2 linked regions of the Oryzias latipes genome follow. The protein of the gene in region 1 purifies or fractionates together with the protein of each later gene. This does not show direct contact. Links are inferred from orthologs where the notes say so. Each region holds a gene or a part of one and is shown in the gene's direction. Other genes may lie near its edges.

Region 1 (4,599 bases):
TGTTCCAGAAACCCTTAAAGTGTGTGAGAATGTAGTGTACAGTATTAGGGGTGGGCTTCAGGGTCATTTTAATCCAGGTAAAGAATTCAGCTGTAAAGGTTGAAGAAACAGAAGTTCAATTAATTCTTTAAGTCCCAACCGTAAAGGCCTTTTAAAACTTGAACTGAAAATAAATTGTAAGAGTTGAAATACTTACGCGTTGAGCAGTTTTGCCCATAATATCCAGTGCGGGTGCAGTCACACTCATAACTGTCTGAACCCAAACTTGTGCACACACCTCTGTTCTGGCAAGGCCATGAGCAACACGGATTACCTATAGAACACAATGATTACTTCTCTAACCTAAACCGAATGAAAATGTCATAAACCAGCTCAGGCGAAACTTGGAGTTTCTGTTCTAAGTCTCATCTTCTTACCTCCTTCACAGACTGAAGCGCCCAAAGCCAAGAGAAGAAGCACAGCTCTAAGTGAGTTCATGCTCCTGAGTTTGATCTTTTGCTCGAAGGTTTTCCTTTTTCCTTCTCTTGCTCCCGTCCTCCAACGTCAAGTGTTTCAGAGTGAAAACGAGCAAGCTTCCTCGGCACAGCAATTATATAGTTACGTAGTTACGTCATCGTTTTATGAATGACCGTTTAGCAAACAAGGAGAGCATCCGGCCAACCCGCTCACACCAATTTAGGATTTGATCCGTAATCCCTCCGAACCCCGGAATATTTTATTTTTCGCAATCCATAATCCGTCATCTCCGTGACTGGTTTGTTCTTTTTTACGATAGATTTCATGTTGATTAAAAAGTGGCACCGAGTTTATTCAACCGTAAATCCTAAAGTCATTAACAGATTATTAAGGAAGAGTTCTTCATTAATTTTCACTAACACAGACTAGAAGAGATGTTTATCATGTCAGAACGGATTAATAAATATTTTTCCTCTACAAAATTACATTTATTAACTATAAATGTTTTCCCCCTATTTGTTCCACAAAAAGGATTTGAAATACATTAAATTTTATGGTTAAATTTGCATTCATAAATACATATTTATAATATCTATACATTTATACCCAAAATATGATGAAAAAATATAATAACTTTTCACGTTCTAAATAAATAATAATAAACAAATAAAATTAAAATATGAATTACTTCTGCGGTTGCATTCATTTGAAAATACATTTTTTAAGTCAAATTCAGGATTGAAATCAGGATACTAAATTATCCCCTGGCTAAAGACATGCCTAAAAGATTTATAAAGTTATTCTAATAAAATGGAATCGAAAAAAGAAGAAAGGAAACCTTCATTTAAGAAAAGAGACAAACGACGCCCACGTGTGGAAGTGGCCCCTCGTGCGCATTTGGAGTTGAGGGCAGGCGATCGTTGCCAGCAGTCTGTCCTGCAGCGCCGTTCCCGACTTTTTGGTGGTGTCCACAATTTTCTTGCAAAATATCAATTTTTGTTTTTGTAATACTTGTAGCTGCCACCACCGTTGATGCAAATTTGATCGTTACGTGACCAAAAGGACGTCCATTCGATACTACTGATCTCTTGAACTTGTTCGGTCGAAAATGTCTCATTCAACTGGATTTGTGAGTTGAAAACTGCCTGTGAAAGGTATGTTGTCTTTTCATTGTTTGTCTTAACACAGAATGTTGTTGTTTGTTGATAGATAAAGCTTTACAACTGTGTGAAAATTGACACTTATATACGTGACCCCCCCTTAAAAAAAGGAAATTAACGATTTGAAGTTGTCGCTTTAATTCGTACTCGTCACTAGTAGCCTGATATTTTCAAGTTCTGTGAACAAAATAAAACAGGCATTCATGAAGAATTACTAAAGTTTTGTCAGTTTATTATTGCTTCTGGATATTTTGTTAGACTGTTTAGCACAAAATGTTCTATTTTTCTGCAGTCAAAACTGACTGTTCATCTATATTCGGGCGAAACCTGCTGGCGCGGTGCCGATTCGTGCGTAAGACTAGTAATCCGGAAAAAGCGGTTACTATTCTTAAATGCACAACAGTCTGAATTCATGGGAAATGTTTTTGTGATTCAAAGAGCTAGTAGTCCGAGCTGGTTTTTCACTCGACCGTCTCAGGTAGGAGTGCTGCAGCTCCACCTGAGCAGGCTTCACTGTGCGCTTTGTTCCAGGCGTCACTGCTTTGCATCATCAGACCAGCTCGCAGGAGTCGGCGCCTTTCTCTCTCCTATGAAAATTCTGCGCGGCGTGCTCCAAATTGCTTTGGCAAACGCACAGAGCTTGGCGCCCCCCTCATTGTGTGCCGCTGCTCCCAGAACCAGGGTGAGCTGGCACTTCTAAAAGTTGGACCTCTGCCGCCAACTACGTGATCGCTGCTGTGAACGCGCAGACGCTCTACGTGCCTCTCTGTGCGCGCTGTAATCACACGCTCTGGCGAATTTAGAGGAGAGTCAGCTACGACGCATCATGCAAATTTATGTTTTCCTCCATTGCAAAGAAAGATAATTAATCCTACTACAATTAGCCTTTTTACGCACAGCATAGACACACCTCTCTGAAACGGAATGTAATGCATGCAATACACACGCACTTAGATAAACATTTCCTTCTTATCACCCGCATGAAGCTAAACACACTTCCTGTTTCTAAAATGCTGTACTGATATCTCAATAGAGACCCAATTAAATGTTTGTTTTTTCTTTCAGGAAAGTTTTCCTTAATGTAGTGACTGCACCTCCGTGTAAAAATGTGCTCTCTGAGGTCGACAGGCCAGGCAGAACTGTTCAATTCTCATTTGCATGTCTCCTTCCAGTTTTTCATGCATCGTTCAAGTGACAGATGATCCCCTGAGTTCAAGAGCCCATCTCATTGAAGGGTTTCGTGAGATATATTTACCCAACAATACAATGGCTTCCAACATAATTGTAAGTACCCTATAAATGCAGGAATTTAACTTTGTGTAAATAGTTAAAGTTGTTGCAACAAAAAGCAAATCAGTTGTTTGATAAGAACACGGTGGAGTGAGCTGAGGATTGAAAAAAAGGACTAAAGTTGCTATGGTTTGACAGCAACAAGGTTCATTACAGCAGTGGCTGATGGATAGCTGTTCTAAAACTCATATGTGAGATTACTTGTTCAATTTTCACATTCACATTGCATTCTTTGCTCCATTTCAATTAGTTTCACAGTTCTTGGTTATCTGAAACCTTGTGGAGTTAGATAAATACCACTGACGCAATAAACAAGACTTCCGCTGTGATGGGGCGGGGGCGGCAGTGGGGGCCAGGGCAGCCTTGGTGCAGCGGTAGGGCGGTCGACCCATGATCATATTATTGCAGGTTCGATTCCCGCCTTGCACGCCCATGAGTCAATGTGTCCTTGCTGTGTCAAAGACGCTGAACCCCACCTTGCCTCTGGTAGGAGGTTGGCACCAGTGTTCAGCAGCAGAGCCGTCACCAGTGTGTAAATGTGTGTGACTGGGTGAATGGGTCTGTGACTGTAAAGCGCTTTGGGCCTTGTATATAAGTATACGCCATTTACCATGTTCAAGCATTGGGAAAGAAGAAGTTACAAACACCCGTCAAAGCATAACATTAAATGTATTTTGTTTTTTAATTAAACATGCAGGTTTAAATATAAGGAAACACTACTACTTCAATTCATAACATTTGAAATAATGCGTTAACATAAAAATGATTGAATTGGGTGGCAAGAAAGTCTCAGTTCTGTGTAAAATTTCACAAGACCCAATCAATTGGATGATCCCAGACTGATGACAAGACCTGCCACCAAAATATGATTACTACTTCTTCCTCTTGTACAGTCTTGTTGTATCAGACGTGCTCCATACTAAATAAACTGTCAGGATTGGCCCAGTTTGGACAAGGCTGAATTGAATTTCCTTTTAGGAGTGCCATATGTTGTCTTCCAGAGTAAATGGAACATGATCTTTTTTATAGTTGAGTCAAAACAGAGCTCTTGTACAAATTAGTTTAATTTAATTGAAAGGAGGTTGTAATGTAGTCCAGTATAGTTTTTATTGAGGTTTCTTTGATTTACAAGGGGTAAAACCCAACTGAACTGAGTGATGTTGTGCACAGGTGGAACAACAGTTCTCACACAAATTCACTGTGACAGTGGTCCGAGCTGAGAACGTCACCAAAGGAGCGCTGGGTGATCTGTGTAAGTTTTAGCTCAAATATTTGGTGTAATTGTGTGGAATACTATGCATGCATTTTTTGGACTAAAAACATTTAAAACCATGCAAAAAAAGAGGGAGAAAAATCAGCATGTGTTCTGTTTGTATATAGTGGATACCCCAGATCCATATGTGGAGCTGTTCATCCCAACAGCCCCGGAAAGCAGGAAAAGGACCAAGCATATCGACAATGACATCAATCCAAAGTGGAATGAGACATTTCATTTCATTTTGGATCCCAACCAGCAAAATGTCTTGGAGGTAAGACATGCATTTTACAATCCAATCTGATCCAGTACATTAATGCAGGTGGTAATGCAATCTTGCATAAATCCATATAAGCAGTCTTCTTGTTTTCAAACTGTTACTTAGCACCATTTTTGACCAATATTGAGCAATATGCCTGTATCATTAGTGGAAAGTAG
Region 2 (3,395 bases), on another chromosome or scaffold:
CAGCACCAGAAACCAGAAACCAGAAATTTAAAAATATATTTTTTAAGACGCAGACTTACCACAATTACAAAAACTAATTCAAATAAAACAGTCTAAATAAATAAATATGTCAAACATTAATAATCAACTAACTAACAAATAACTAAATACTAAAAAGATAAAGCATCTCTAGATTTTTTGGATCTAATCCCAGCATACAACCTACAAGCTAAATAAAGATTTCTAGATCCACTCTGCTCTCCAGCCTTTTGCTTCAGCTGTTGGGTCCTTCCAGTCTCCATGGAAACCTGCTTTGGTTTGTGATATCCGTGTTGCAGGGATTTATAGATCTTCAGACAAACAGATTGTATATTTGTACAAATCCCTTTTGTGTCTGAGCTTTATTTATTTTATATTTTATTTAACGGTTCCAGACCAAACCAAATGGGGCGGCTGTGGTGCAGGGGTAGGGCGGTCCTTGGACAAGAAACCGAACCCCACCTTGCCTCATGGTGGAAGGTTGGCGCCAACTTTCGGCAGCGGAGCCGCCACCAGTTTGTGAATGTTTGTGTGTGACTGTAAAGCGCTTTGGGCCTTCGAGGAAGATAAAAAAGCACTATATCAGTCTACGCCTTTTACCGTTCACCAAACCCAGAGTCCTGCTTGCTGAAAGGTTTCCACAGCAGCAGGAGTCACATGGACACGACCTGCTGAAGCTCACAAACACACACAATACACGTTCTTCAAACACACATTTATTCACAAGAGAACACCTTGATGAACTGTTTCTACATGTAGGGTTTAGATCGATAGATCCTCTCTTTGTCATTGCCACCATGTTTAAAAAGTACCCTTTGGTCATTGCCTCATTTAGTCATTAAAGTACTGACTGACGGTCCGACACTGCAGACATTTATGAATCAGACGGAAAAACGATGTGGATTTCCTGTTTTTACATTGAAATATTTCCATAAACTCAGTACTTGACCTGACAGATGCAGAAAGGAGAGAAGAAGTTCATTTACCTTCATCAAATCTGCGTCTGTGTTCCCTGCCGGACGCTCCAGCAGACATGATGGACAGATGTGTTTCCACTAGAGGGCGCCATCAATCTAGGCAGACAATTCAATGGAAGTTTGGACTTTCCTTCTGCTTACGGTCCAGGGTGTGTTGTTGGTCTGCGGTTTGATAGCAGATATTCCATATATTCTATGATTCACTGCCGTGAAGCTGACATACGTGTTTTTAAAGTCATAGTTATTCTGTGTTTATTAACATTAAATTGATGTCCAGATGAAGTTCCTGTGTGTTTCTAGTAAAAGATGGGAAACTGTAGTCTGACTTAAAAAGTCAGTTTTCTGCTTTTATTTTGAAGACTGTCAGACCTCTCTGTGACCAGAGGCTTTCCTCCAATCCTGTGGAGTCTGAGTGAGTCACTGTGCGGCGGTCAGGGCGGCGCCTCCCTATAAAGCTGCTGCTGCTCCTGCTGCTCCTCAACTCCTCCTCAGTGCACTTCTGCTTCTGCTCTGCCCTGTGAGGTAAGATCTAACGGTTCTGCTCCGTCTCCAGTTGTTCATGATTTTCTGTCGCTCCATCGGCCTGAATGTTCTTGAGGAGGGATCTGTGTGATCTAGATCTGTGGTGGGCTTTTCTAGTTGAGACTTCCTTGTCAACGATTCAACTTTTTCACAACTTTCCTTTTTTGACAGCAGATTTCTGCAGACTTTAGCAGTTCGTTGGGAAACCGTCAGACGATGTGGCACTTTTTCCCATTTCTGTGACATTTTGCATCTTTGCTGTGTGGTTCCTCTATAGGGAGTGTGAGGAAGGGTGTGGTTGGACTGTGGGCATGTTTTCACATGTGTTGGGCTTTTCTTCTGTCCCCTCTCATTCTGGGCTTCAAACAGTCCTCAAAAGACAAACAAGCATCTGGATGCTTTTACAGAAAGATTACTGTGATTACAGTGGCATACAGACTTTTTACTTCTTTATATCCCTTCTATTGCTATCCATGCCATTCTATTTTTGTTAATGTTCTCAAATTTGAATCAGATTTTCCCCTTAAAAAACCCCATAAGTTTCCTTAAACCTTTTTTTGATGGCTCAGCAAATGATGAAAATGTTCAACGCTTCCTGCTGCTCTTTTCAAGTCTCAGAACGTTCCAGCATCATGCCTTCAGAACTGGAGAACGCCATGGAGTCCCTCATCAAGGTCTTCCACCGCTACGCCAAAGACAACCAGCTCAACCGGCGGGAGCTCCGGGAGCTGATGGAGAACGAGCTCTCCAACTTCCTCAAGGTGCAGAAACCGGCGAGGAGAGGGCTGAATCTGTGGGTTGGATTGTGGGCTGACCCTCCTTTACCTCTTGCAGGCTCAGAAGGACCCCGCCGCCGTAGACAAGATCATGAAGGACCTGGACGCCAACGGGGACGGCCAAGTGGACTTTGAGGAGTTTGTGTCTTTGGTTGTTGGACTGTCGGTCGCCTGTGAGCAATGTTACCAGATGGAGATGAAGAAGCGAGGGAAGAAGTGAAGAACAATGGGAAGAAACCCAAAAGCATTTCAATTTTTGTTGTAAAGATTGTTTTATCCATTAAAGAAACTGGACTGTCAGCTGTTGTGTGTGTCTGTGTGTATGTGCTGTTGGTTAAAGCTGCAGCTGAGACCAGGAGACTGCGTCTCTTTAAAGAGGACAGGGCAGGTAAACCTTGCCCCCTCCCTTCCATAAAGTCCTGTTTATCATTTCCCTGAGGAATCTGCTGACTGACTCAGCTGATGTTGAAACTCTCAGCTTTGTGGAGCGTTCAGGAACACTGAGATTGGGCAACGCGGTGAAATGTGCTTCTGTGTCGCAGCCCACTGCAAGAATGTGGAGGGCCTGAGTCACATGGAGATCAGCCCTTCCATTTTCTCACAACATCCGTTATTTGCTGGATTTGGTGAAATCCAAGCAAAAGGAGAAGAAACAACCAGCTCAGCTTATTCCATAGCAACTCATGCCACCCGCGGCGGGTCACCGAATGCCGGAAAAACTAAACCCAGGGGTTAACGTCTGCACGCTCGCTGAGCTCTGTGCACACATTTATGGGCGGGGGCCAGATCTCGGTTGATCATTGTTCGTGGTTACAGGGCAAACACTGTGGTTGCTAGGTTACGGGGCTCTGACTGTGTGTGTGACTGCAGAGGTTCACACCCACATCCCACACAGCTGAGTTCATTTTTCCAACTTTCCTGCTGTTTGTTTGTTTTAGGATGAGTGAGCCGCACAACTCACCACCGTAGAGATCCTTGATTGTATGAAGAAACTGAGACTTTTGCCTCAAATCATCATCCTACACTCAGTTTTACCATATATTTTGCTGAGGTGGGGGGGCGTGAGCTCAGAGTTCACAAATATTCACTCATTCCTGCCACA

Evidence for each region.
Region 2: the proteins of pla2g4a (region 1) and protein S100-A10 purify together in Homo sapiens (affinity purification with western blotting; 3 studies listed by BioGRID). This does not show direct contact. The link is inferred for Oryzias latipes from reciprocal best matches to the Homo sapiens genes PLA2G4A and S100A10.

Annotation. Positions count from the first base shown.
Region 1 is NC_019862.2:15,083,356-15,087,954, forward strand, and holds the start of pla2g4a (cytosolic phospholipase A2), read left to right. Parts: upstream 1-1,670; 5' UTR 1,671-2,298; intron 2,299-2,788; 5' UTR 2,789-2,882; coding exon 2,883-2,900; intron 2,901-4,076; coding exon 4,077-4,158; intron 4,159-4,286; coding exon 4,287-4,435; intron 4,436-4,599. UniProt on the Homo sapiens protein: Has primarily calcium-dependent phospholipase and lysophospholipase activities, with a major role in membrane lipid remodeling and biosynthesis of lipid mediators of the inflammatory response.
Region 2 is NC_019869.2:1,216,050-1,219,444, forward strand, and holds protein S100-A10, read left to right. Parts: upstream 1-1,471; 5' UTR 1,472-1,517; intron 1,518-2,129; 5' UTR 2,130-2,149; coding exon 2,150-2,278; intron 2,279-2,351; coding exon 2,352-2,513; 3' UTR 2,514-2,593; downstream 2,594-3,395. UniProt on the Homo sapiens protein: Because S100A10 induces the dimerization of ANXA2/p36, it may function as a regulator of protein phosphorylation in that the ANXA2 monomer is the preferred target (in vitro) of tyrosine-specific kinase.